Lepisosteus oculatus: one gene and its partners. The protein of the gene in region 2 purifies or fractionates together with the protein of the main gene of each other region. This does not show direct contact. Links are inferred from orthologs where the notes say so. Each region holds a gene or a part of one and is shown on either strand. Other genes may lie near its edges. The genes, in order: CD44 antigen-like, fgfr1a and ribosomal protein S6 kinase alpha-3.

Region 1 (10,426 bases), on a different chromosome or scaffold from region 2:
TATCTTTATAATTCCTTAAAATGGGTTAGCCTGCCCTGCACTGAGCTTCCAAGGATCACCTTTGCCATTACAAAGGCATGTTCTCCCAGAACAAAGTTTGATATTATTTTATTTTTATCAACCAGCCACAACAACCCAGTGGAAGTGATTGATAACACATTATATCAAAAAGTTTATATATCTATGTATATTTTAATTTGATAGCCATAACAGGGTCATTTTGTATTCTTTTAAATGTGTGAGGATATCCAAAGACAATTAAAGGAATATAAATGTGAGGCTTTCTGAGGTCTTATGTATATAACATTTGAATGTCTTATGAATGTAACATTTTGACAAAATTACTTTTCTTGACAAGGCCGTACAATGTTAGGTTATTGGTGAGAATAATATTACCACATACAGTACAGTGCTTAAACTTGAGAATTAACCAGAAGACAGTCTAGCATTTCATGTGCACAGCACAGATTGATAATACAAAGCCTCTTGATGCTTAATGTGCATTAAGTATTTGTCTTTAAGATTCTATAAAGCAGCATTTTAAAAATGTTTGTGAGGATGAAGTGAAGAGAGGCATTAAAGAAAAATTCTAAATGTTGCAGTACACTTAATGGAATTTATGGATAAGAACATGAAAGAGATTTTTTCATCTCAGTCCATTTGAAGGGAGATCAGAATCTTTAATCAAGAGAAGCAAGAAATACGAGACCGTAAACCAAAAAAGAGCTTAAAATCTAATGCACAGGATTTTAGGAATTCTGTTAGAGTGGGTCATTTATGTGGTTTCAGACTACCAAGCGAATGTGTGTATGTTGCTTTCATGAGGAATGACTCAGCTACTGGTGATTTTCCTAAAGTCTGCTTTGTTACCTTGGCTAGGCACTTAGAAAAAAAGCACCTTGAAATGTGAGCTCTCAGCAAGCAGTGTCTAACAAAATGCAAGAACCTTGCCTTTGGATTCTGGCTGTTTTATAAGATTGGTATACTCAAATGGAAATTGACAAAGAATGCTCTTCAGCACATATGATATCCTGTGTACACACATATTTCTGACATACTACACAAGTATTCTCCACAAATTGCTCATTAACAGACTTATTCTGAGCCTACATCTTCATGTTTATTTTTTTTCACCACAACATTTACCAGAATTGAACTGAGGCTCCTGATGATAACTAATGATGTTGCTATTCACTATAGGTGATATAGTGAAACAACCATAACTTTCAGAGCATGTTGCATATTTACTCATACATGCAGTACTTCCCCATTTTCCACAGACTAAGCATCCACAAGCTGATCAGTACTCGGAGGTAATATCCTTTGAACTCCGTAATGGTTGTGAACAATACTAGTCATATGATCTTATTGAGATGTTCCAGATTAATTGCTTTCAAAGCAGTGTACAAAAAATATTAATGCACCAATGCCACACCTCTGTATCTACATATAATAGAACTAATAATTATACCATAACCACTACTATAATAATAACAACATTAAACCATGTATGATCAACAGGACACTGTGACTTGTGAGGCAATGCTTCCGAAATTCAGCAGAGCTCCACACAGAATGGTACACAAGCTTGGAAAGAGACAACCCATTCAGGTCATGGATAGCTGTTGTGCCACAGACCTGCCCAATGAGCGGCTTTCAAACATCTTTCCTTCTCCAGAATTTGTACTTTCACCTTGTCTGTCAAAAGTGCTGGACATTGAATCTTTTTAGGTAAAGCACCTGATGCTCCTATTTTTTGTCTTTCCAAGGATTTCCATAAGACAGTCATTGAAATAGGTTTGGATTAAGATTCACTTCTCAACAGTTCATAGCCAACAGTTATAGTATGTTTTCATACAACTGAACCTACATACAAATACATCTTTGAAATACAGATTGGGAACACAGAAAACATCTCGGTGAATTTGTGTTGAATATTGCATAAACAAGTTAGTACAGAATGTGTTGACTTTAACATTGTGATGCAAGTATTGTGTGTTGGATATAGACGGTGGTGTTTGAAGTAGAAATGCTGAATATAAGTTGATATAATTACTTCTTCTCATTTCCACATTAACACATGGCTTCTAATTTCTAATTCAAAAGACGCTTAAAACAACATAAAAGGCGATAAGTTAAGACAACACAAAAGAAAGAAAAATATAAGGCATTAGGCTCAGTGTGATTGATTATGTAGTGATAAGGTACTATTTTTGCAGAAAACATAGTACTACCCAGGAAATGGAGGGGAATTTGTAGAACCAAAATGTTTTCACAATGTTCACTTAAATTTTGTAACTGTGCAGAGCAACCCAAAAACATTTTCCACAAACAGTATTGAAACACTTCTCAGAAAATGTGATTGTTTTTCGTTCTATGTTTTGTCTTTTCATTATTCCCTTTTCCAAAGTCTGACATAATGGAAAAGTGTTGGTAGCTTTGGCCATTTAGGAGTCGTACCTACCTGTTTTGGCCTGTTTTGTGTAGTGTGATTCACCGGGTGAACCACAGAGAAAAAAAAACACTTTCTTTTTATCGAGAAAGTAATATATTCTTTGTTTGAGTACAGGTATGAGATTGGACAAGATTGATGACTAATTGTAAAAGACTTTAGACCTAGTTTCTCACACTTCAGTGTGGAGTAGTGATTAGGTTAGGGCTCAGAACACATATTGGGAAGGATGTTGATTCATATTCTTGGTGGGGCACTACTATTTAACTGCTGAGTAAGGTACTACACTAAATTAAAATAAATTTAAAGTGCTATAAATGGGTAAAAATACAAAGTGACTTGAAAAAAAGCATCAGTAAAATAAAACCATAATTTTTGAGTGGAAACAGGCTATTTTGGGTGCCTTGTGACCAAAGCAACAATAAAATCACTTACAGTAGATGAGTATTCTGTCTGGGTTACAGCACCAACATTACTAATACCAATATTAGAAAATCTATCAGGTTTAGAATGTGTATTCAGGAGATGTCCATTGGAAGTTTTGTGAAATTCACACTTTGATCTCCTAAGTCATTTACCTTTCAAAGACATTTTTAATTTCTGAAAGCATTTCTAAACTGAACCAGCTCATTCAAGAAGTGAAGTTCAGTCTAAAAAAACAGTGACTCTGGAGATGCAGAAACCTTTTTTTCCATTGTGTGAGCAATGAAGTACAGCCTCACTGGAGTTCAAAACCAAAATGTCCAGGAGATTATTGTCAGCACCTCCTGATTCTTCTTTTTAAACATCCAAATCTCTGCCATTTAATGGAAAGGAAAGCCAGCTGGACTTTTGTATCAATGACCTCTTTAGATAGTAGCTGAAATCCCAGCAGAGCTCATTGGGCATTAAAATGCCAAACAAATGTAAATTCCATTAGGAATTTCAATGAGATGCCTCCCCATCCCTCCACCGTCCAAAAATCACTGCTTAAGACAAGTAAACCTTGGCACCATTCCAGTGGCCAATACAGTGAGCCCTCTGCCAGTCTGGATGCTGTGGCGCTGAAGAAAAAATCAAACCAACCTGTTTGATTTTTGGTACCAAATTCTATCTGCGCTCAATACTCGAAAGGAAACAAATGAAATGCTATATGTCTTTGTATTGCTAAGGCAGGTATGAACACTTCAGCAGCTCTGTCCCCGAACCTGCTGAATACTGGAACATAAAAATGCTATAAACTGAGTGACAATGATAAATTGGCTATTTAATATTCGAATGAACTACCCTCAGAAAAATCCCTTTTGTTTCCAGTCCCTGGCAAACCTGGACACATCAAAGGCATAACTAAAGCCAGCCTGGCACCAACACAAGCACAGCAACAGATATCTGAGCGCCACTGAGAATGTCTATGTAGCTGATGCCTTGCAGTTCTCATTCATTCCCTTTTAAGCAGTAGAATCCATGCTTTTTGTCACAGCATCCCTGCTTTAAGACACCCAGCTCTCCACACAAAAGCCCAAAGCATTTAAATTCCAAATAGAAAAAAAAAATAAAAGCAAAATGGCTTACCTTGTGTCTTCACAGAACTGGGAAAGACAATTAATCCATAAGCCAGAAAGAGCAAGCAGGTCCAAAACATTTTTTCTCCTCTTGTCTCCAACAAGTGAGAGAGCACTGAGCTGTCTGAGTGACTGTGTCGGTCTGTAGCTGTGAAGCCGCTGGAGACTTTCACTGAACTTTTTTTTTATATTCTCTGTGTGAGAAGGGACTTAACTCAGCCAGTGACACATGTGAAGGGAGGAGGCTGGTACGTTCACACCCTTTTTTCTCCCCAGCTCTCTCCTGCCCTGGTAGCAACACATTTATGTTACCCAGACAAAAGGAGTCCTCTCAAAAAGGTGCTCTCTCTCCCTCCCTCCATTTCTCCCTCCCACTCCCCCTCCCTCTCTATCACATGGTGTATAACAGAGTGTCATCCTGGTCAAACACCTCGCCCTGTGCAGTTCAAAACTTCACCCATTCTTTTCTTTCTTTTTCTCCTTTACTTGTCAGCCCCTCCCCCTGTTATGTTTACTTTAAGGACCGGATTTAATCTCTTTGCTTTGTTTTCATCAAGTAGTTATTGAAGAGAGTAGTATCTGGGGCAATTTAATCACTCTCAATTCACCAAATTTGACCATATGAGCTGAGACATTGAACTTTAAATTACTCACAGCTTGATGTGTTCAAGGTCCAAGTGAGATACAGTAAATACATTTGCATGGTTTGGATTTCATACTCAGATTTTGATTAGCGATCACTTCCTGTCTTAAACCAGCGTCCTCAATTATTTTTACAGTGATCTCAGTTGAAATAGTCATCCATTCACAGAGTGTGAATGAATGAAATCTGGAAAACTGCAAGCATTCCACATCTCCCTCCTTCTGGACCCCTTTCATCAAACAGGATGACTCCTGTAGATTATTGATCCTTCCTCCTGTGTTGTACAACACCTCCTTTAGTGCCGTTTCTGTACCCTGATGATATTCAACCTGCTCCTGTGTGCTACGTGCTTTTTATTGTGGCTGTACATTGGGTGTCACTTCATCATTTATAGAAAGAATACAGTATTAACTATTTAATAAGCTACAGTAAGTCACAGTGATATAAGAATACCACAAAACATTTAGGAATAGAATAAATTCAGCTTTCAGACAAATGACTGGTACCTCTGCATTTTCTGCCATCTCTAAATGAGTTTCAAAAAGATACAGACGGAGGCTTTTAGCACAACTGTGGATTGTAAGTACTTGGAAGTTCACAAACAGTACTACACCTTAATACAACAGACTTATACAGTACCTAAATTCACACCATAGGGATTGCCTAAGCACTTGTATTTTATGTGTGAGATTTATGTGTTAGTTGTAAATAACATCTAAAAGTATTTGTCTTTTTCTCACACTATATTTATTATCCATTCACAGAACTAGCAAGTCTGATAAGGTAGTTGATTTAATTTTGTGTTGATCATTAATAGCTTTTTGAGATGTTTACACACTAGTTAACCATCACTATCAGAAGCAGATACCTGAAAAATAAAAGAGGCAGAGATTCCACTTAGTAGAAACCAAAAACAAAAGCACATTTAATAAATTTGATCAGATTTTATATGTACACTTAAAGTAGTAGGTCATTGGGTTTGGAAGAGAGAAAAAAAACAAATTCCCCAATAGAGAAATTAAATCACTGTGGATCCAAGACACCATGACTGACCATGATGATGTGGAAAAAGAAGGTTCTGGATTGTCCTTTAGTCTTTAGGTATTTTATCCTGGGAGGCACTGATAAGAGGGTTATTAACTTGGTCTAAAATCTAAGTACATCTTCTGGAGTTTAACAAACTCCAGACCCTGGGTCTGTTACAGGCCACCTGGATACAGATTATCATGTACATGTACTGTAGCAGTTGGCAGCTACAAGGCTGAGTTCCAGGCAGTGGAAAGAAAGAGTCATGTTAGAGTCACCAGATTGAAAAAAAAATTGTCACCTAAAACGTGATATTAAAGAACAATGTCATGGTCAGAATCAAACACAAAAATAAATTTAAAACAAAAAAATTATGACTTTTTCACGTTACCTTCAGTAACCACTTATGCTGACTGAGGAGCTTGATTTGGTTACCCAGCCCTTCACAAGAATAGCCTGGGTCAATTTTTCAGTGCTCATCCTAAAGATTGTGTTGACTTTGCCAGTATGATTTAGGATCTTCAACAGCTGCCTGTGATTTTAAGACTGTGAATATTTCTTTAAACTGCTTGAGTCCCCCCCATTGCTGGAGATTATATGCGTAAATGACACAAACTTAAAAACATTTCACAAGATACAGCACCTCTCCACTAAGAGAGGATTCTTTAGTCTTCCTCTGTGGCTCCTCGTAATGACATCCACTATTGGTGGAAAACATCTATAAATACAAATGAAGTCAATTATTTATTACCCGTCCGGTGTGTAAACATCTGTAATCCCAGAAGATGGTTGTCTACTTTTTTATGTCTGTGCAGATCACCTTCACATAACATTCAAACTGGCTTTCTTCCAGTTCAAGAATGACTTTCACAGACTTGTATTTTAAAAGTGTGAAAGAGAATTGTTTAAAGCAAGCCAGAACACTTTAATCTGTTAAAAACGTGATTCTAAGGAAAAGAAAAATCTGGACCACCAGAAGGTGATGTTAGAAACTGTAAACCCAGCATTTGACCCATTGGCTAATCGATCCCAGTGTGCCAGAGATTCAGGAAAGTCTTTTATTTTGATTAATATTTACTGTAAACAAACCACTCTAGCATTGTAAGGGAAAATGGCGTAATGCATATTACTTGATCTCCTGTTTTGAAATACTGTACATGTAATTATTAAGGATTGCCTGGAAATTGTAAGAGTGTGAGTTATAATCGCTGAGGGTTTCATGAGGAATTTCCCTAAAATAATTATTTTAATCCCAGAAATAACACTCCTTCTAGAATCAGGACAGCTTCCAATTCTTCTGGGAAAGGAGGGGGAAAACTGAATAGAGCTGGCAGCCCAGTACGTGGTCTTCTGGCACAGCCTGAGGATCAGAGAGTGGGATTTTCATTAAAACATTTTTACTGGAAATGTCTGTTAATGTTGTGTAAATTGTTACTCTTTGTCAATACCATGATTCATCTGTCATAGCAATGAAGCTCTTTGCATTTGAATGCCAACATGGTCAAGGTGAACCATTAGCCCTTTGTTATAGTTACTGTATGTAGATTTATGGTCAATTTAAAAACACTCATTGTCCCCAATCTCCAATCTTGGCAAACTAATGCATTTCTAGGTGGAATCACTAAGGCTTTGGGTGGCACAATAATAGTCAAGACCTCTAGGCATTCCTACCAAGGCAATACTTACTTAATGTGCTTCATTAACTCTTATCACTTTCAAGTGAAGACATTTAGTCTAAATGGAGTGGGTATTATTGTCATCACACAGATAGAGTTCCAGAAATCTGAGACTGAACAATGCAGAGCTGGTCAAGGTCTGTTTTGTATTTTCTCTGTGTATTTTATACTTTTGTATTTCTCTTTTGTTTTTTTGCCTCTTTTATTTAGTTTGGGTGTCATTTTAAGGATGAATTAAGTAATTCATCAAGTAAAGTGCAGACGTATAAGACAATATAATAGGTAAGGCTATTTAAAATAAAGACACACAACATAAGAAAGTTGGCAAATAAGAAGAGATAATTCAGTACCAAATATCTAACTAGATGTAGCTTATAGATCCAAGGATGTCATCCAGATTCTTTGTGAAAGAAGCAACACAATTGGATTTCAGTAACATGACTGGATAACTTGTTCCAGAAAACCACAACCCTTTCTGTAAAAGACTTACGGGTTTTTTTAAATTTGATTTTTCCATTAGTTTCCATCTGTGTCATCTGTTTTAAGTGTCATAGCTGATTTAAAAGAAGTCCACTGGCTTGACTTTCCAGCACTCTCCAAGATTTTGAATCAGGTCCCCTTGAACTCTTTTTTTCTTCGAGATTGAGTACTCCATCATTACTGATATATCAAATTCCTGACATAGTCAAGGAGACAAGGAGAGACAAGGATAAATACAAACCCGAGTTTACTGTTGCATGTCTTATATTTATAATATTCATTTCTTGAGCAAAATGTCATTGAAGGTAAAGTGTACTTCACCTTTCTATTAAACACAATGTGTTAAATAATCATATTAATTATCAAAGCCCTTCTTGTCCTGTATTGCAAAGAATATTTTGTCCTGCAAAGAAGTGAAATCAAACATTAAATTTCAAGCCAACTGCAAAGCATGTCATGCATTCTGGAAATAGAAATGCATTGAATATCCCAGGCATATTTCTATTAGAGTGTCTGCTTTGCTTTCAATGTGAGTACAATGAGTCTATGTATGAGGGGAGCATTATTTCAGGTAGAGAGAGATATTGACATGAAATGAAACACTAAGTGACACAAGTGGCAGGTTACTGCACATGGCTTCTCTGGGGAATACATTGGCTTCATTAAAAACTAAGTCAATTACTGAAACAAGAAAAGCATGATCCTGTAATTACTATATAACAGCATGGCTCTTCTTTCATGAACCCTATCCTCACTGAAAATTTTGGAATAATTTTTAATTGCAAAGTTTTTACATTTTGAGAGTCATGTTCTATTATTTGAAAAAGTGCTTGACCCTAAGACCAAATGATGTGAATAGGAGGGACATAGTCTAGTGCACTAAACAGTATACAGTACTATGTTATGTCACAGGGTCTCTGGTTTGGTTCTGAAATGGAGTCCTAGTGTTACATACTGACCTTTTCATTTTCTCTCTTTTCTCGTCTACCCAAGAACGCGCAACGGACCTTTCAGTTGACATTTTGGAATAGGACTGGTTAGCTGTCCTAAACTACTCCTATACAAATGTTCTAAAAGTTGAAACCAGAGTTGAAAAGGAAACCAGAGAGTAACCAGGATTTTATAAAATACTTAAAGGCCTTACATTTAAAAATAAATCAATACTGTAAAATAGTATCTCTATGCCACTTTCTAGAGCCTGTCCTTTTGCACATTTTCAGGTCCTAATGTTTGAGTAAATCTTCTTCTAAGTGATTTAAAATACTCACGGCGATAGTTTTGGTAAACTAGAATAGGCAATAGAGTGATCTTAAATAGAATTTTGATAAAACGAGTAAGTAATCAATGAAGTAATTACTGACATACAAGACGGTAAAATTAGGCAGCTAGTTTATACACCTAATATAGCGCACAAGGAACAGACAGAAATCATTCTGGCTCAACTGCCTTTCTCTGTCATCATCCTAGCAACAGCTTTTTAAAATAACTGTGGCAAAAGCAAAGAGAACATCCTGTTTGCATTGTGATTGATTCAATGCTGTGGCTTTTGTTACTGAGCCCTACCTGCTCCTGTCTCAGCTTTTAGATCTCCTCTTTTTATTCTTCATTTTTCACATCCCTCATTCTACCTCAGTGCAAATGCAGCCATATCTTTTGAATCTGCATACTAAAGAGAGTAGGTGTGGATTAAAAAATAATTAGTTTATGTGGAGATGGTTATTTTTAAAATGAAACTTATATACTGTACTGTGAAAGTACTCTTACTTTAAACTGTATAAATGTGCATTGTTTAATTTAGCATTTCATTATTTAGCTGATTTAAGCAGGATTCAATTAATGCATGTATATTTTTAGAAACATGTGCCTGTTTTATATTTTTCTGTTTATTTCCATAAGAATAATTCTAGTGAAATGAAACCTACCACTGAGCATCATGTGAAAGGTATTTACAGTGGATCTGAAGCACAGGACTACTTAGGACTACAGGTGATACTTTTGTCCTTCATAGCCAGAACAACAATGATTTCAGCTGGGTCTCTGTGGCAGGTCCCCCTGTGGTGTGGTAGTTGAAAAACCATGCCTGCTAATTGATTCTCTGCACCGTTTACACCCTTAGAATATAACTGCACAAGGAATCTCTGGGCCAGGGAAGAGGCTGGGCCGCGACCCCAGGTGTTCCACAAGCACTGTCCCACCCTCATCTGGGTCACAACGCACTTTGCCTATCTGTTTCCCGTTTTGTCAAAGCCTGAATGGGTTCCTTCTGCCCATAAGTCTACCTGAGAGCTCCCACTTCCTTGGTTGAGTAGTTGAGTTCATTGAGTGATCCACTGTATTGATACACTGAGAGAGAAAATGGTGGCAAACACCATAATAATTGACCATATTGTATTTATTAAACCCAGAGTCAACAGGTGAGCACTGAACTGTCAACTACAGAGCCAACTCACCAACTGTTTTCACCAAGAGACTGACCTCACCAAGAGAACTATTCTGTGCTCTCTATCTCTTTATAGAAAAAAGCCTGTTTGGAAACAGCTGTACTAGATCCCTTTGTTGTACCTGCATGTGAATGTTTGCACTTCTTCTAAAAACCGTCTCAAAGCTG
Region 2 (9,897 bases):
TTTGATATACACAAAGATATAGTGTGCATTATACACATTATATGTTATGTCTTGTAAAATCGTAGGAAAAAAAACTTCTGAAGATTTATCACTGCAATCTAAGGTAAACACTGGCAACAACAAATTACATTTCAATAGCCCTATGCGAGAAAAGAAATGTGAAAATTATGATTCAGTTTTGAAACCATCGTACTTTTGCCAGAATACCGTTGAATATTTTTGTGAAAAGTTTCAACTTTGAGACAATCTATAGATCTATTTTACCTATAAGACTAAAGCAGACAAAAACAAACTTTGGCTTACTAGAAATCGTGTTTTTACGTGCTTAGAAAACAAGCAAGGCTAAGTGTGAAGAGTCTCTTTCCCCTCTGGCCAGGTGAATCGGCTTCTTTGATGCCTGGAAATTCAAAACAAACGCCCTGCAGCTGGTTTTCAAGAACCTTTCGCAACGCAACAAATCGCTTAGAAACGATTCTGAATTCTGTTCATACATAAAAAAAATGTCTGTCGTCAACAGGTATTTGCTGTCTAGTAAGTTCTTATCAGAATTATTTGTAAACCGTGTGCAGCGTGCAAGGTCTTGCGCTATCTGCCTCACAGATCGGCCGGGCGCGTTGACGACAAAGTCGCTCGCCAAACAAACTGAACGGACGCAATAATCCAAAGAGCTAAAAGATGTCCGAAGAGGAAAGAAAAACGCGTTACACATTCCCTTCCACAGCTCTATTACCCGGAGACTGGATCAAAGAACGTCACACACATTGTGCACCTCAGTCAAGTGCGCTTGTTAAAAATAAATTTCACCCGACAAACACGGCAAAATACTTCAAAATGTAACTCAGCCGTGGCTATTTAGTCATTAGGTTGCTCACTTTGAAATAATTACAAACGTCGCCCTCTTCACCTGAAATTCAGCTTAGACAAAAGCACGTGGTTGTTACTTTTAAGTAATTTTGTGAGGTTATTACCGTCAAATTGTATCCTGCATTCCAAAAAGAAACGCTCAGCTACAATATCTATAAAAGGAGGAACAATAACTTGGACACTTCAGTTTTAAAACACCAAAATCTGTCATCTCTGCATAAACCTTTTCCCCTAAAAGCCTAGCTTTAGGCGAGTTGCTGCGTGTGCGGACGTGCCCTTACAAATAAAAGTAACGTGAGGCAGTACAGTTGTTAAAATGCCTCTATCTCAACCTAAAACCTATGTCGACTGTCATTAAAACAAGTCCTTGTCCTGTGCTTACTGGAAAACTGAGAAACATGATGGTAAAAAAATCCTCAGAAACCTGTCCAGGTCATTAAGTCCCGCCAAGCCAAAGGACTTTTCCAGGCAGATCTCTCCTGCACAGAACAGTACCGTAAAAAGGAACTGATATGCACAGAAATGATTGTTCTTCAAAAAGACTTCAGTTAAAAAAGGAAACGGAGAAAAAACTGCATGTGAAGACTTTTATAAAACCCTTCGCGGTAACTTTTCTTGAAGGTTTCCTTTAAAGCTTTACATCATTGGTTGTGAGCATGACAACAGATTATTCAACTTAAGTTGTGTGTGAATGCTCAGTGTCTCACTAAGACCCTGTAGTAGAAAACATTTTGAAAACTGATACAGTTAGTGATTCCAATGGACATATGAACACAAATGGAAAGGACTTGAAGTTAAAATATAACATAGGCTCTCTTTTGGTAAGGTATCAGGTACATACGTGCTCAGATCATCAACACTGTAAACGTCTAGTTTTAAAAATAATAAAGGTGTCCCATTACCATGCCTGGGTTCGACCCTTTTTCGGTGCGTCATTCAGTTTCAAACCCCCGTCCCCTCCCCCACGAAATCTACTGAAAACCACCAGAAAGTTCGCCAGAAACCTGGTAAAAGACGCGCTACTTGTCACGTCAGACTCACGACGCGTTGTTATAATACCGTACAAAACAAAACAGATAAGGTCATCATTGACAGTCTTAGAGATTTCAATATCTTAACAGTAAACGCTTAAGAATTACACCTTGATACTGCTCTTACACTTAAAAGGGATCGAAATCCGTGTAATGGACCAGGCTTTGCTTGCGATTTCAACATATCATAAATTGATATGCAGTGTTTACACAACAAGGGTACATCAAGAGTGTTTTGGTCATCTGTTTGTAATACAGGCCCTGTCGGCGTTGGTCACTCATATTTAGCTCACTCGGGTCAAAGCGCCTTTTCACTGTTTTCTTCAGGGCACGTTTTGGTCATTGCCCCCTTAGAGTTACGTTAGTAAGCCCTTTTTACAACATTTCCTCCTCGTTTAATCCTTATAGAAAGAAAAAAAAACTAAGAGATAAAACATTAGTAGGTAAACAGACCCTCCGGCGATAGTTTTCAGTTTTAACAGTAGAAGCGTTACAGTGCTGACGCGCTTCTGTAAAATCCATCTTCTACTACTCGTTAAATGTGGAGGGAAACGGCCCGCTGTAATAGTCATTCGTGAGGGCTGAGGCGCTGTTAGAATTAACATACTAACAAAAATTAAATTAAATGACTTACTAGCCCAGTACTGCCTTCATAACCCCCACCCCCCACTTCTGCTAGAGCCCTGTGCCTTCAAGTGACCAAACGCAACAAGTGTTGGGACTCCTCAGGCGAGCGACTGACACCACGCTGGTCCACAAGGCAACGTGTGAAATGCCTGTGATCCGCCTGGAACAAATGGATACAAAAGCCAAAAGGCCAGGCGCTTCACTCAGCGTCACGGGGGATATCGAGAGAAACGCAGTTCTGAGATCAAGCTAGGGGAAAAAAAAAAGTTTCCAATTCAATCCCTTCTTTAGTTAACCGTCCCGCGAGCCAAAAACCTGACTGCTATTTTCCATGATTCTTTCTGGCTCTGAAACGTCTTAGGCATCCCCCTCCCTCCCCCAAAAAAGACTTTCCCGTTAAACTGGCCTTTAAAAAACTCATTCGTTGCCGGCGATACCTCGATATGCCAGATCATTTCAACGAAAGTTAAACACGGCACAATGAACCCCCTGCTCGCAATAAAAATTAAACGGGTTGTCCAAACGCGCTTAGTCGACACTCGTTTTGAACCAAATGAGTTCCAATTCCCAGTATTTTGTCTTCCGTACCAACAAATCGCGATGTATCACTAGAACGTAACAGCGTTTGGTTTTTAAATTGCATTTACTTTAGACAAGGCTATTGACGGGCATTCGTTTTTCGAATTTAACGTGTTAAGTATCTCTCACCTCAGGGAATACCAACAGTCCGGTCACCCGCTAACACTTTTCCTGTGTTAACCAAGATTAATTCTTAGGCTGGATGTCATGACTGCATTTCTTTTACGGGTTTAACTAAATAGGTACTGTGGAGTCCAGAATTTCTTTCTAAAACCATTTATACCACTTAAATAAGCAGTGCACGTTCTGTTTCATTACGCGTTCTACATCTGGCATTGATGGACATTAGCCAAAACACAAGAACTCTTTTTTTTCCAAGAATATTAGCTTCAGGCTACAAAGCATACGAAAACCACTGAGACTCAAAAAATTCCGTGCATCTTACGGGAATATTTACGAAACACATTATATTCGCACTATTTCTTAAAACGTGTGAAACTGCAGAATTACATAAAAATCATATGTTGGACCGGGGCAGAAATATCCTTTGTATTTTGAGTTTGTGTTTAAAAATTGCTCATAAAATTATGAAAACTTACGGATTTTGACAAATTCTTGACATCAGAATTAGAATTAGATATTTTCTCACTCAGTTATAGTTCCAAAAATAATTACCTTTTTTGCCAAGTAGTTCCAAGACGATGCGCCGCCGGGATTCTCACGGAGAAGAAACTGAATCCTTATAAGACGTTAGAAAGTTTGCATTATTGTAGATCCAGTACCAAACAACTGGCTTGGTATGTACCAAAAAAAGCAAATGCCTTCCGCAAAGTTAATTAGCAAATACCGGGGAAGGAGAACCAGACGAATCGACAAGTAGCTTTCTTCTCCTGAAAATCAGAGCTCAGATCATAGGTTAAAAAAAAACTTCTTGAGATTAGATCACAGCAAAGCCGCGGAACAGCCAAACTACGAGTTTCTGTTAACAGGAGAAAATATCGTATTTCCCCCCTATAAATCAGCTGGTAAATACGCAAAGTTTGGAGAGGGAAAAGTAATCTTCGCAGAAGCTCATGAAACGCCGTGCACCTTTTTTTGTGGTGATAACGTGAAGGAGAAAAAAAACTGCGCTCCACTTCTTTATTGTTTGAAAGAAGCCAGATTCCCACAAAGATAACCGTCTTCCAGATAACTTTTTAAGACAGCGTCTGAGATAGGCTCCTATCAGCTCCTGAGCTACTCAGGCTGAAAGTCAAATGAATTTTGATACATAAAAGCTTGATGATTCAGCCCCGTGTCTAAATACGCTGTATCTCCTTATTTCGTTCGCTCCTCCGAACTCATTCACATCGCAGATTGTCTGCGACCTCCCCCCTACTGTTCAAACGCTCCAGAAACAACAAGAGCCGAACTAATGGAAACCTGCCCCCTACCATCATACGGAGAATACATAATCACATCGACTGAGCTAACCTGCCTCCGAGCCATCCTCCAACACCTCCATGCCCAAGTGAGACTCAACCCCCTCTGCTTGGCATTCTGGGATATGTAGTTTTTAGCGGAAAAGTAAACCAACATGTCAATACTGCCGAACTATTCGGCATATACACTCAGTATATGACCCAAACCCTGCGCATGGTGATTCGTTCAGCGACGAACTGCGAAGTATCCACGTTTTTCGTTTCTATAATACTTTTCTCACGTCCATAATATGAAGAAGTAGGCTCACAAATGTTGTTTACATCTTAATTATAGTGAGTTTTGTTACCTGTGTTCTCACAGACCTCTGTAATTTAGATTGAAGTTATCTTCTTGATTTTTCTTCTTATCACATGTCCAGCTAGATGTATGAACACGGGGGAAATACGCAAACCCCACACAGACAGTACCGCACGTCTGGAAATGAACCCAGGGCCCCAGCGGGGAAATGCAGCTATGCTAACCCACTGCGCCACCGTGGAGTTTGTTTGAAATGTCATTAATAATCTTAAATATTATAGAAACTAACTTATCGGATGTGGTTGTATGAAACTGCTCTTCGTGAAATACAGTACTGTAATGCTGATACAGACAGCATAATCTCGTGCATCTTGACATCAAAGGAATTAGACTGCATTTTAAGTATTGTATAAAAAGACGTTCTATAAAAGATTGACCATTTTTTATCAACATCTCTCTGAAAATGTTGTTCTATTTGGCATTGCTGAAGCTCCACCCTTTTCAAAAATGTGTATGAATGTAGTTAAAAATGTAGTTAAAGCAACATAAGGGTCAAATACGGGATGGCAACGCCACCGTGTTAAATATACAGAGGGTAAGGAACTGTATATATTCTTACTAAAAATTGTATGTACTTTCTCACTGAATATGGTATGTTCTGTCACTAAAAACTACTTCGGCGCAACAACAGAATAATAGAACAGAATAAAACTCCATTCATACTTTTGTGTTAAAACCAGAAACGTCTTAAAAAAGCAGCTGAGCATCGGTCGGTTTTGCAAACAACACAGCTGAGGCCGAGGGCGACAGGTTCAACGAATTTGTTGATCGAAACTTAATTTACTTGATAACTTGATTAAACAAAAACCGTTACAGGAAGCCAGTTCCGTTCAGTAACCCAGGCTACTCAGATAAAATTAGCATTATATGAAACAAGGTTGAATGAACACATTCATTTCGTATTATTCGAATCTTACAATCATGTCAGGCATCTCGGGTGCCTAATCTTTGATGAACCACAAAGATAAACATATCAAGTATGCTATATTTATACCACCTGACGATGTTTAATAATTATAATACCACCCGGCGATGTTTAATAATTGTATTAACAGAGGTTAACCTTTTTTCAGTTATTAACCACGCTAAACGGCTCCGTAATAGTTTGTGTCAGTGGCTCTGTTTAATTACTTGCCTCATCGAGTTCATTATTTTTAAACGGTCCAAGGCTGTTTTGCACAGTTTACAAGAGGTCGACTGCAACAGTCGTACATCAAGATGAGATGATGCACACGTACAATTCAATTCAATTTAATATACATTGACTCTTAGCGATACCAGGCCTATGTATAAGTAAAATTTTCACTTTGAAAATTCAGACCAAGTCTAAAGTACAGATAAAAAAAGCCTAAACTGGGGTTTACATTTAGATAAGAACCTTAATCTGTGGATTAAGTTTTTTAACCCGTTCCCTTCGATCGTGCTAGCATTGCTATTATGAAGCACCATACCTCTGTGGTATACGTTGTATTTGACGTGAATTTCTTCTCCGTTTCGAACAGGTAGTGGCACGCATTGTCCGCATGCTTTAAAGTATTTATTATAAATTGAAACGTGAAACTCCAGACACTACCACATGCCTTTTAAAATATGACTAAATCCAGATAATAACCCCAAATGCAGTCTTCCTGTGCTCTCAATACGTTTTGATGTATGTGCGCCTCTGCCAGATGTTTTATTAGAGTGACTGATACTAGACAGGACTCGTTTTACAGACCTTCATCACAGCCAGATGTAGCCAAGTTATTTTATCCTTCAAGAGCACTTATATATTTAAACATATCTTTTATATTGAAGGATATATTATGTGTGTAATTCTATAATTTAAATATTTTTATGACGTTATATATAGCATATTTTAAAGTCACACCTATATAATAGGAAAATTACAGTTTTATTACGCATGGTAAAATTATTTCTCATTAAGCGTATTATACTGTGCATAAAATATACTAAATAAAATAATCAACAAAAGAGTGTCAAGGAGAGGAATGTCACCAAACTGCAGGATGAAATACTGTACATGTGAAGGGGAAAGAGGTTGCATAAGAAAGGACAGCAAATTCTTTTTTTTTTTTGCTTATTAGAAGTTGGAAACTATCCTGAGCTATAAACTATCCTGGCCTTAAGTAGTTCAATTAGTTCACACCTATAATAGAGTCCAGAGCCAAAAAGTTGTCTTTCTTTTCTTCTCTTTTCAGCATGTATGAACCTCTACTTCTTCCTTATAAACTATCCTGCTCACCTAAGAAGAAGAAGGCATTTAAACCATCCATTATTCTTCCTTTTATTTATAAAGTGGCTTTCAAGACATTAAAACAAGAACATACACAATAATCTGACTGTAGTGCAATCAGATATAGATATAGATATAGATATAGATAGATATAGATATAGATATAGATATAGATATAGATATAGATATAGATATAGATGGAGCTGCAACAGAAAAGGCACGGTCACCAATAGTGAGAGATTTAGTCCTGAGTACAGTGAGCAAAGGACCAGCCTCAACAGACCAAAGCCTACAGGAGTGTAAACATGGAGGAGCTCAGAGATGTAAGATGGTGCCAGATTGTTTAAAGCCTTCAAAGTTAGAAGATCTCATATTTAATACATCATTTTAAAGGCGACCAATGTAGAGATTTAAGTGTAGGAGTGATATGCTGCCGAGATCTGGTGTGACTTAGAGGTCTAGCTGCAGAGTTTTGGGCTTATTGGAGCTCACTGAGAAGAGTGTTAGGGAGCCCATAGAGTAAACAGTGGCAGAAATCAAGCCTCGATGGTATAAATGCATGAATCGGGCCCTCAGCAATCGGACACTGATAGAAATGATCTAATGCAGGCAATATTGCTTAGGTGAAAATATTAGTCTAATTTTTCACGTGCGGAGCCAAAGTCAGGAGAGGCCCAAGTGCGACTCCCAGTTTCCAGAGTAAGGCTGATGCCTGAACGGATAAGCTGTCCGTGATAACTGTGAAGCTCTCCAGGAGGCATTAACTGCCCCCCAGTAAAAGTTCTGTTTTGTCACTATTTAGCTTCAGGGAATTTGATGTCAACAGAGCTTGACGTCACCGTCACCCAGACAAGAGATACGTGAGGTCTGTGCGCAGTTCAGGATAGGGTGGGATTAATGAGTCTGGGCTCCCCCGGCTCTTGGCAAACATAACGACGGACAGGTTAGCGGACGCTGCCAGCGAGGGATGCAGTTGTCCTCCAACCAGCAGTGACCTTTGGGTGCCTGTGACGTGGTAAAGACAGGGGACTCAACGGCGAGCTGTGTGGAGGAGTCTGACTGCGCCCCCTCATTCTTACAAGCGTGCAGTGTCAGAGGTCGTAGTCACGAGTCCAGACGTGAAAAACACACAACTGGAGATTCTAAAATTGATAAATATAATAATAAAAAATAACTAGCAATTTAAAAAGTTAGGTAAAAAAAGAATATGGAATCTTCAGGGACCAGTCACTGTGCAAAGAAAGAAATGCTGTTTACAAATGTCAGCACACATTTCTGCAATCTACCACAGTTACATTATAAATATTACTAATATAAAAACATAAGTAATAAAGCCCTCTTTGACTGGTTCATAGTTCTACATGCACTGCTTTGTAATTTAAGGCAGAAAATCCAAATATTAATTGAAAATCGTTAAAAAAACACCAGAAAACACTTTCCAAAGAAAATTTATAACACATAAAGTACTAATGGAATACATTTCTAAGGCACGTTTAACACTTCATTTACACACAAATTGCATTTAGTTTCCTCTGGTGTGGGGGCAGCTGTTCAGAGCCCAGAGAACTATGAGTAGTTTGTAGGTCTGCAAAAATAAATCAACAGGGACCAGTAAACCATCTTGAAAAACATGAACATGTTACAAGCTTCTCATCTGAAGAAGAAATTATTTCTAGCCACATATACATTTCCTTCAAAGAATAGAAGTATTTGCTTACAGCCATTTTCCGAAACGCCAAAAAAGCTTAAATAAATGTCTTTAATTGTCCATTGCCATCTGCCCTGTTGCCCTGGAAAGCAGACAGAATGTTCTGAATGGGTCCCATTGACTTACTAAAGAGGGCTTATCAGCAAATACTGCAGCAAATAGAGGTAGCAATGAGGTGTGAAACAGCCCAAGGCTGGCTAATGAGCAGCATGAGAGAGAGAGGTGGGGAAGGCACTGGGGGTGATGGTCATCCAGACTTTCCTCTGTATACGGTCCGGAGGTAACAGAAGAATGTTGCAGATGGCACACCCCTGCCTGGTGCCCTGAGTGTTTAATGACATCTTTTTATTCGCCAGTGCGTCAGTGAAGCTCTAATGGAGTTATTGCCTGTTGTGGACCCCCTGAGCAAGTGTTTTTACCTGGCTAGATGCTGGAACTGCTTGATTTGTTAACACAGTACAGGGAACTTAGAGGGGCATGGGGCACTACTAAAAGACTGCGGAGGGGACTGGCTGGCCTGGAGGCCAGGGGGCATCTAACATGTTGGAAGCTCTCTCAGACAGTAAAGTTTGGATGCAGCTCTCTCTAATAATACTGCATACTTAAAGGGAGACTGGAAACTCAGTTTTTCCTGTTCTTTAGGAGGCCATATGTCTTGTACAGGAAACCATAGTCTGCCTATGAATTCCTGATTAACTTGACCCCAGCACATGGGGATATGGTCCCAGCTGGCTAATGGCATACAGTTTGAACCAGTGTTCTCTTAACTCTACAGCACAGTATTGCTCTAAGTCCTTTAGTGATGTAGCCACATGTGTGCCCTCCTGTTTTAATGTTTCCTTCGGTGGTCATTAAGTTGTGCACACTTGCCAGAGCAACACTGTTCAGGCTCAGGAGAAAGAGGAAAGGATAAGTTAGCTGTCCCGGCAGCATCTCAACATCCCCAAGCAGCATCTTTCTAAAAAGAAAAAGTTAGTAAGAAGTGAGTACTGCAATGGTAGCACACGTAAAAAACGAGCTTCCATATTTGAAACGGGGCCATTAACTGATAAACGCATTGCCTACTTCAGCCC
Region 3 (9,490 bases), on a different chromosome or scaffold from region 2:
TTATGAAGCCGGAAGGGAATTCCTTCCATCTCTGTCTTGACCCCTCTAAAGGGCAGCGCTGTACTGCGAAAGGAATAAACACCATGCTGCATTGCTAGTGACACTGCATTCACCGATGTTGATTAACCTTAATGATCTGACAATAAATGAGTACAGAGAGCAATTTAAGGCCAGACGCAGACTGCTGTGGCTCCGGCTGTTTACGAGCTGTTCCGATTCAGAGCGATTCCCAGACTCCGCTGTGTCAAAGATTCTGAAGCAGAGCTCACTGCTGTCTGCATCAGCACTTTCCTTCGGCATGGCCAGAAGAGACATCCAGAAACCAGGGGACAAAGAAAAAGCATGTGGAGGCTATCCAGCCCCGAAGCAGGAAACTCTCCACAGCTTTTCTAAACTGTGCCAAGATGGCAGCAGCTTGGAGGGGCAGATCCCAAGTGTTTTATGTTTGGCCAGGGTCTTTCCATCAGACCGCTCCAGTAAAATGCCCAGCTGTATTTACGGGTATAATTTAAGCAGGTTTGGATAAAAACATCAGCAGAACAACTTAGTAGTGAATGGAGTAACAGAGATATAATTCATTTCGGGGGACACAGCAACTGCAAACTCTTGCAGAAGCCAAAAAAAAACACTTTCTTTGTTCCTTTGAACATGACATTAATGATCGACATTCAGCTGACTTCCAACACACTGCATTTCTGCTTTGCTAGTGTAATTAGCACGAGATTTCGGTTCTTAAACACAAAAAAGGACCAAACCGCTCCACAGTGGAAGCTGTGCTCGATTCCAAAGAGTACTTAGCAACACTAAGGAGAGACTGGGAGAAGAAAGGCTCTTTCCATCTGGAGTTGTGATCAGGCAATTATGGATGCAATCAGGCATTAAGAAGAGTCACAGACACAAGCACAATATCTATTAAGACTTGTGGCAACACTGTGGCAAATACCAAGACAGGAAGTAACATTCTGTCTTACAGGAGTCTATAATTAATCTGTCTGAGAGGTTCTAGTTCAAGCAGCTTCCTGTCATTTCAAACATTAAAGGCCTGGGAAAAGGAGGCCACATATGGGACAAGGCTTTATTTCAGACACACAATGTATAAACAGAGGGGGTGTTGCCCTGAGAAATGATGTTAATAATGACCAGAAACAAAGAGCTGTGCACAAAGACAGCACTGTAGGCATGTGTGTGCACTGGCCTGGAGATGTGCAGTGAGTCCTACAAATACACCGTCACGCTGTGAGGATCGGGCTGACATCAGTCTGTAGTCAAAAAGTAAACACCCGAAACAGTTCCTTGGGCACTGAGAGGCTTAATATTGCTAACAGGAGGTATAACATCCAGAACAAAGATCAAATTATAAATGTAGAGGCATTGCAGCTTTTTTGTTGAAAGCTGCCACAATTGAGGTGTACAATTCTGTACCCTTTTTCTATGTGAATGACTTACCATACCATACTTATAAAGGCTGCCACAACAATATTTAAAAGTTTGAAATGCCGATTAAAAACCTCAGAAACAAACAAATTAAATGCTCATTATTCTGAAGAAAAACACATCAGCCTCAACAGGGTAAGATATATTGGATCACGTAAATTGCATACATCAGCACTAAAGGCCTGAACAGTCTGGCCTTGCTTTAAAACTCTGGATTCAAAAACACTGAGGACACAATTCAGGACACTGAATTGTAACTTCATCAATTAATATAAGTTTAGAGCATTGCTTGCTTATACCATGACATGACTGTGTCTCAGACAAGATGAGTGGATTTCTGACAGTAAGAAAACATTTACCTTTAAGTGTTGCCTTCTTAAGCACCTTCATAGCATAAAGCTGTCCAGCATCAGGGCCCGTGATCTTCTTCACAAGGAATACCTGTGGTGGACAAGTCCAGAAGTTACAAGACACAGCAGAGATGGCCTAAGTGGGGTGGGGAGTCCTTCTTTCAGCACTTGACGTCCTCGAGGCTGGACTAGGTTCTCTCACACAGCAGCCCCAGTAGACCAGTGTACAGGAGCACTGGATGCTATCAGCTGATTAATAATATCGTTCGGAGAGTCAGACAAATTGGCCTAGATGGGTTCTCCAGGCTGGGCGGCAGAGGAGAAGGGCTTTGAGGGGCAGTGGAGCTCAGAGGTCATTACCAGCACTAAGGTCACCGCCGGAGGGCCCATGAGAACTTGGTGGGAACCCACACGGCACAGAGGAGCACCCCGAGACAATGCCCTTCACCTTGCATATCCGCGCTCCACTGGTGCATCAGCTAATGAGTTCTCATCCGAGCACAGGCCCCCTGACAAGGCAGGCAGGACACGGGGTGATGCTCCTGGAATAAAGGGCCCTTTCAGCTCCAGAGAGCAGAGACAGAGACGCCACTGTGGGCCAGCCATTAGCGCTGCATGCTTGCCGAATTCCTGCCGAAGCACGCACGCTTTAAAAGGCAAATCCGCAGAGTTAGCTGCAACAGTGCAAATAGGATGTTCTGATCCCTGATCTGGGCTCAGGACACCAGACGCAAGTAAACAGATGCCCCAGGACTCAGCTCGGCACAAACAAGAAGAGGTCCAATTGCAAAAACCTCACACTGCCTGAAAAACGTACACGAGGCATGCATGGCTATCACCAGCCAAGAAAGACTAATAATACTGACACCCGAAGAAGGCTCCACAGCTGAAACTTTGCGTTTTGTTTCTTCTCTTTTCAGCATGGAATAAACCTTTACTTGTTCCTAGTCATATTAACTACCATATGCCCCCACTAGCTGAGAATGCTCATCTCCATGCTCATCACACAGCTCACACTACAGCAGTGGAGGGCACAGCTAAAATCAGTCAAGGGTCACATGCATGCCACCCATCCAGCCTTAAAGGCTGTAACACATATCCAAACAAAGCAATTGACAAGAACATTTTTGAAAATCCTACTCAATTCCCTTGCACATGTCCAATGGTTGAAATGATTTGTAAACAATGCTCACACTTAATCTATTTCTGATTGCTCACAGGGTGGTCTCTGAGGGCCATCGAGTACCCGCCATTACCAGGTCTGTGCATGACTAGATCCCTCAACTGAAACCTATCTGTCCCTGAAAAAGGCAGTAAAAATAAAAGGGTGTACTGCGTGCACTTGCAAGACACGCATTCGGTCCTCAAAGCGTTTCTCTCTAAAACCACATCCAGCCCACTCCCCGCCGCCCCCCCACACACTCACCTTCCCGAAAGAGCCTTGGCCCAGCACCTTCCTCAGCTCAAACTGCCGCGGGTCGGCCTTCTCGTGGCCCTCCTTGACGTGGTGGGTGATGGCAATCTCCTTGACGTGCCCCTCGTCCTGGACGACAGTCAGGGAAGAGAAGGCAGGGTGAGCTCCCGGCTCAAGGCAGCCCAGCGCGTTTCGGTGTTAAAAGCAGGTGGGAGGAAAGCAGGAATAGGAAGGCCTGACGAGCCTCGCACGTGCTGCCCTACCTCCTCTCCCCTCTCCCCTCTCCCCCCCTCCAGGAACCCCGCCCCAACAACCACGGGCGCTCCCACACGCCCCCACATACGTGATAGGCCGTCCCGCCGTCCCACGGCTTTGTCTTGCCCCGCGAGCTGCTCTGTGCCACAGCATCACCCATGCCCATCAGCACCCAGCCCCCGGGGGGCAGCAGGAGAGCGGGGCTAGGAAGCGGGACAGCCCGGGCGGCGCGGGCCCGGCGGCGCGGCCGAATCCTCCATTGCCTGTAATGGAGGCAGCGAGCTGTGGCGGCGATGTGTGCAGTCCTGCAGGCAGGGGAGGATCGCGTTTGACAGCTCCCACACTGTTGCCATGCTACCCCTCTCGCAGGCATCAGCAGGTGGGAGTGGAGGAGGTGACTAAGGAAGAGGGCCCTTCGCTTCTCTCTCTCTCTCGTTAACTCTTCGCTGTGCCTTCTCCTGCTTCCCCTCCTCTTCCTGTCTCCCTTCTGCCACCCGCCTGCGCTGGGAAAACCTCCAAGTCCGAAACTGCACTCGTACAGCTACAGCACTGAGTCACGCTGCACACTTTCCTCATCAGACACACAATGCCCCCCCCCCACTGCCACCGGAACTTTTTTTTATACACGCTTCGACTTCAAAAGGTACGACGCAGCCTTGACAAATAACTACAAAGATACTAACCCCGAGGAAAAGGCTAAAAACCTGGAGATCTCGGCATCTGCATGCCTTCGGAATCAGGAAGCCGATACTATAGGGCTCTTAGTGGTACTGAGATAAGAGACTTGTGTGAGCAGAACACTGACAAAAGCACAGAATCTCAAAACACTTGTCTCTCTCTCAAAAGGTGTGATCTGTAGATGCTCAGCACGAGCAGGAGACATTTCTCGCGTCAGAAAGAGTTTGCAGATCAGTGCGCTGCGCATGAATGACTCTTACGAGAAACAACCAGGAACTACACTCGTTAAACTAGGCTCTCAGAGGTTCATCCTCAGCGATGAGATTTTTCCCCAATAAATGGAAATGGATATCTGACTCCAGAAGGGAGCCTTACAATAGGCAAAGCTCATCTTTGTCAAGCTGAACCTTGAGAATGTGGAAGAAGTCAATTTAGGACAGATGCATATTGTAAATGTGAAACTAATCCCCGGGAGAGCAGGCCACATTTCAATCATAAAAATGAGAAGTCTGTTAGACTCAACCCACTGTACAGCGCTCATGATAAAAGAGCCACGCACAGGGTAACAGCACAGAACCGGTGAAGGGTTAATCACAAACGAGTATCTTATGTGGGAAATCGCTCAGCGAACACAGGCTGCTCCTCGTGGGAGCTAAATATTAATCTAAAAAAAAACACTGACCCTTACTTCAGATACCGCACCTTACAGTAATTGGCTCTACGGAAAGAAAAAAAACCTGGACACGCACGGAAACTCATCTACGACGCCGAGCAGAGAAGACCTCTGGCAGAAGCACAGTACCTGATATTCACACGAGGAGCACAGAGAGGCGACGACAACACTCCTGTCCATCCTCTGCAGTCCCAGAGACAGCCTATACGGTTTGCATTCTGTCAGCAGCGCAAGCATGCTGCCATCAGAGAGGCAGGAGCCCGTCTCCCGCGCGAGGAGGGGAAGTTGCCAGGGCAGAGCGCAGCAGACGCACCAGGATGTGTGGCCTGGCCGGGAAGCGGAGAGGAGAAGTGAGAGGCGCGGACCCGCTCCGCCACGCACACGCGGCGCTCACCGATCCCTCTCCGCGACAGAGCGGCTAAGTGCTAATTCAATTAAAAAGGCTGCTCTCCGAGGAACGTTCAAGCCTTGCACAAAAGCCGGAGAGGCGACGGATAAACAAACCCACCCGCAAAACAACGACATCTCCGAAGGGCCGCTGCTGCGAAACACAACAGTAACACAACAGATGCCTCCGATCTTTCCTGGGATCACACGTCTGGTCTCGGAGACAAGGCTCGAATGCAGCATGTGAACGTCTAAGCGAAATGTCAGCGTGTGTCACGCAGTCGCGTCGGCTCTTGGCGCTGGTGCGATCAGACACACAAAATAAATCTGGAGTGTTAAAAAGAGACTCTGCTTCAGGCAGTGGGGGGGGGGGGGGGGAGGTGCTCGTCTCGGCAGGTCTCAGCCTGCATGTGGTCAGTAAGGGAAACCTGTGACGCAGTGAGGAGAGCTGGCCTTTGGCCTCAGGAGGTTTCACTTTCACTAGACGTCACCCTGTCTAGAAGTCGGAACAGAATTTGCAGGATCCTTCCTGTAGACCAGGCAAAATGCAAGTACTTTGGAAATTCAGCAGCTCAGACTCCAGCCCTGACCCATCGACACTGCTCCATGCCAGAGAACTGCCAGGACAGTTGGTTTGTCTCCTGAATCCCTTATGTAGCTTATTTTCTAATGAGACCATCCACCCATCCCGTTTCATCCAATTCAGGGTCGATGAAGCCTAACTCCACAAGCAATGGGCTCAAGGTTCAGGATGTGATGCCAGTCTATTCTAGGGCACACGCAAACATGAACAGAGACACATACGCACTCGGACCAGAGCAAATTCTTCTAGAAGCCAGTTAAGCTACCAATATGTTTTTGGCCTGTGGGGGGAAACCAGTTCAAATGAAACCTTTCCTCCAAAAACTCAGCTGCCAATAAAAACTAGATGCATCTCCACAACAACCCTGACTGCTCTTCTGATACTTCTTGATCACTAACAATCATCCCTAGGAAATGACGCAAAAGGGAAAATTGCTAGCAGTTGCAACTCTCCTCCTCCAGAAAAAGTCCAGTAAGAACAAATGTGTCTGACCTCTGACCTTTCTGGAGCACTCAACAATGTCAACGATGCTGATTGGATCAAAGTCTCAACCATGAGGCACAGCGGATTCAGAGGAGATCCTGCTACAGTCTCCTGTCACCCCAAGAGCAGTTGCTGATGGAACCGGTGACAGGCCCAGAAAGACTCAGGAGACTGGACTACAGCCTTAACAGAGGCAGGCTGGCAGCCCTGAGGCGTTTATTGAAGTGCAGCCAAGCTACTGACGAGAAGTGACCTTGGGCTAATCATTTTCAGAGCAAGTGTCAGACTGGGAAGATTAGTTCTCTTACTCCGCTAAAGACATGTCAGAACCCATTCGAGCAACAGGCAGGAATGGACCACCCTCTGCACAATAAAACGTCATGCCAGAGTGTGTTTTCTGTTTTAAGAAGAAACATTTATTCTGGGAGCTGACAGAGGGCATTGCATGTTGTTAGTCAAGTGCACAAGAAAGGTTCAATTCAAAACTTTATCGCATGGTCGGTTCATGAAATTATTCACCAAGTTACCCTGATAGGGACTGGGATTCACACAGAATAACGCACCTAAACTGACATGCTTGCAAAAACAATACACTAAAACGTGCTTCCAAATCTTGTTTTGTTGTTTAAAAAAATAGTTTCTTCTGTCGGCAGATGGTCCTGCAGAAAGACAGAAGCAGGATCGTTTACCTGTCTCTCTCTACCTCGTTAGGCATCGAGACTCACAGATCACAGAATATGTAACAGACAGACCTCATCTCTGCCAGGACCAGCTGTTCTGCTTCCTGTTTATGGAATTTTAAAACGAATTGCAGCTCAAACCGGTAAAGCTGAAAATGTTCTTTAAAACGGCATCTTTCCAATACAGCATACGTCAATAACATCCGGGTCGTGACCTATCTCATGCTGTTTCAAAATTCTGTACCATGGCCTGCGATGCCCGATACGCAGGGTAGAACATGAGACTACAATTGCTTTTTTCAATTAAAAAAAAAAGTGACCCAGCACAGGACAAAGAATATCTGGGCAATACAACCAAAGAAGAAAGAATATGGCCAAAAAGCAGCTGCATTTTGAACTCTGCTGTGACTGCCCTTCCAAGAGGAAGTAGAGATGTGCGATGCAGACATCCTTCGGCTCAGGAAAACGAGGGACCAGCAATCACCTGGTAAAAAGGAGCCACACAGGAAAGCCCACCCTGAGGCCCCCCGCATGAGCTCTGTTCTCTTGAAGTGATGACAGGCTGGGCTCAGAACTCGTACAGACGTGCCTCTCTGCACAGGCAGGCATGCAGGAAGCTACAGTAGTACATCTTCCACAATCAACAGCTTCAGGGGAGGATTGAAGAATTTGCATATTCTGTACAGACGAGGAGTCCCCAACCCTGGTCCCAATTCCATTATTCCTGCAGGTCAGTTTAAATGACCTGATAAGGATTAGGGACACTTATTTAGGCAGTTGATCAGTCAAGCAAGTGAAGTATCAACGAAGGGAACACTGATCCTTGAGAGCTGATGTTTTCTCCCAATGATCTCTGAATGACTGAACTGAATGAACCACCTGTTTATTTGATCAAGTTGTTCCACGCCTTTAGAAACTGATGTTTTAAAGGGCTCCTGTAAAAACCTGCCAAATGCAAATTGAGACTACTGGAAAAGCCAAAAGGTGTGACAGAAAACGACTGTTGAAAAGAGCTGCTGCAGTCAGAGGGAGCGGACTACCGACACGCTGACCTCAGCTGACTTCCGACATTTTCAGGACACGCGAGAAAGCCCCGACAGAATAAAAACGCTGCTAAGCAGAACGGTGAGCCCATGTGAGCAGTTCTTTTATGCCCACTGAAATGGCTGCAGCCGTGCCCCGCGGGAGTGCTGAACCAGATGGTTCCACCAGCCCCCAGGCGAGCCGCGGGTCTCTAGCCCGAGTTCCCGGAGGAAACCTTAACATCACAACTCTGAAACGTCTGCCCAGAGGCACTGAAACACAACCCGGGCATGGGAGATAGTGTTGCTCTGGAACCAGACCAGGGAAGAGCAACCAGATACACCCGTGGCCCCACAGAGAGCGTTCGCCTCTGACAGGCCGAAGGAGTTTAGTCTTGGACAGAGATGACTACGACGGGGACCCAACTCAAACACTCACAAATCACTGACCCAAGTCAACCCAGCTGCACCAGAAACAGCTGGACCGTGCGTGCCACAAAAGGGGGCGCCCAACCCACTTTCCTATTCCTCCATGCTGAGCCCTAACCATCCGGTGCGTCTGCTCAGGCGCTGGACTCAACCGGCGCCGGCTGTCACCTCTGCAGCATCAATCCACCTCCCCTGCCAACCGAGTTCTCCACGAGGAGAAAATGAAAGTCCACGGTGTAAACAAAGCGACAGGAAGACTTCCGTTTCTAGAGAGAAACAAGGGTTTAGGGCGGACTGTAAAAAGATCAAATGAAACCAGCAAAAGAGAGATCGCCTGGGAATTCAGTGCAAGACTTGTGAGCAACCAATCCCGGATGCTGAACTACAGCAGCACTGCGAGTGGCTCAACCCTGTCTGAGCCTTCCTGAAAAGTGTGTCAAAACCCACAGAAATTCACATGACCCGATCCATCACAGCACCCTTCCCTCCGCCGACGCCCATAATCTCACTCACATGCTCCCCGCGGAAAACCCCGCCGCCGCTCTCGAACTTCTGCCGCAGACAGACGGACATCGCCCGGCCGCAGGCGATCCTTGTGGGCTGGCTGAATTCCACCGGCGACTCGGATTCGCCGTTTGCAAAATGACAAAGAAAATCCGCAGCACCGGGGCCCCCAGAGCGCGCTCGCCTGCCCGCCCTGTAACTGAGCCCCACAAGGGGAAGGCACTCGGGCGGGTGTTTCGACTTAATCCGCCGACCCCCGCCATGTCGGGAAGAGATTAAAAGATTCTCCCAGCCGACCAGCTGCTGAAGTTACAGTGCCGTCTGTACCGTGCCCTCTCCGCCGGCACACGCCCTCCCCCCACTCCTCCCCGGGGTTTACTGGTAAGCCGTCTGAACTGTCCTTTCTGTAAGGGAGGGCATGCGGTCCGAACCTGACATCACGCAGCGATCCTGAGAGGGCAATAACCAGGGCACCGCGGCTGTTTGAATTAAACGGAGAGCGCGGAGGACGGGGAGAGGGAGAGAAGAGGAGTAGAGAGAGAGAGAGAGAAGGGGTGCCTCTTACCAATACCCTTATTTTATTAAAAACACCCCTCAG

What was found.
Region 1: the proteins of fgfr1a (region 2) and CD44 antigen-like purify together in Homo sapiens (affinity purification with mass spectrometry; 3 studies listed by BioGRID and IntAct, counting the BioPlex papers as one, with this or other methods). This does not show direct contact. The link is inferred for Lepisosteus oculatus from reciprocal best matches to the Homo sapiens genes FGFR1 and CD44.
Region 3: the proteins of fgfr1a (region 2) and ribosomal protein S6 kinase alpha-3 purify together in Homo sapiens (affinity purification with mass spectrometry; 4 studies listed by BioGRID and IntAct, with this or other methods). This does not show direct contact. The link is inferred for Lepisosteus oculatus from reciprocal best matches to the Homo sapiens genes FGFR1 and RPS6KA3.

Annotation. Positions count from the first base shown.
Region 1 is NC_090716.1:14,173,003-14,183,428, forward strand, and holds the start of CD44 antigen-like, read right to left. Parts: upstream 4,331-10,426; 5' UTR 4,074-4,330; coding exon 4,004-4,073; intron 1-4,003. UniProt on the Homo sapiens protein: Cell-surface receptor that plays a role in cell-cell interactions, cell adhesion and migration, helping them to sense and respond to changes in the tissue microenvironment.
Region 2 is NC_090697.1:72,340,641-72,350,537, forward strand, and holds the start of fgfr1a (fibroblast growth factor receptor 1-A), read right to left. Parts: upstream 4,592-9,897; 5' UTR 4,575-4,591; intron 4,548-4,574; exon of another isoform or gene 3,841-4,547; 5' UTR 3,777-3,840; intron 1,825-3,776; exon of another isoform or gene 1,767-1,824; intron 1-1,766. UniProt on the Homo sapiens protein: Tyrosine-protein kinase that acts as a cell-surface receptor for fibroblast growth factors and plays an essential role in the regulation of embryonic development, cell proliferation, differentiation and migration.
Region 3 is NC_090700.1:4,620,350-4,629,839, forward strand, and holds the start of ribosomal protein S6 kinase alpha-3, read right to left. Parts: upstream 4,021-9,490; 5' UTR 3,827-4,020; coding exon 3,542-3,826; intron 3,328-3,541; coding exon 3,211-3,327; intron 1,876-3,210; coding exon 1,794-1,875; intron 1-1,793. UniProt on the Homo sapiens protein: Serine/threonine-protein kinase that acts downstream of ERK (MAPK1/ERK2 and MAPK3/ERK1) signaling and mediates mitogenic and stress-induced activation of the transcription factors CREB1, ETV1/ER81 and NR4A1/NUR77, regulates translation through RPS6 and EIF4B phosphorylation, and mediates cellular proliferation, survival, and differentiation by modulating mTOR signaling and repressing pro-apoptotic function of BAD and DAPK1.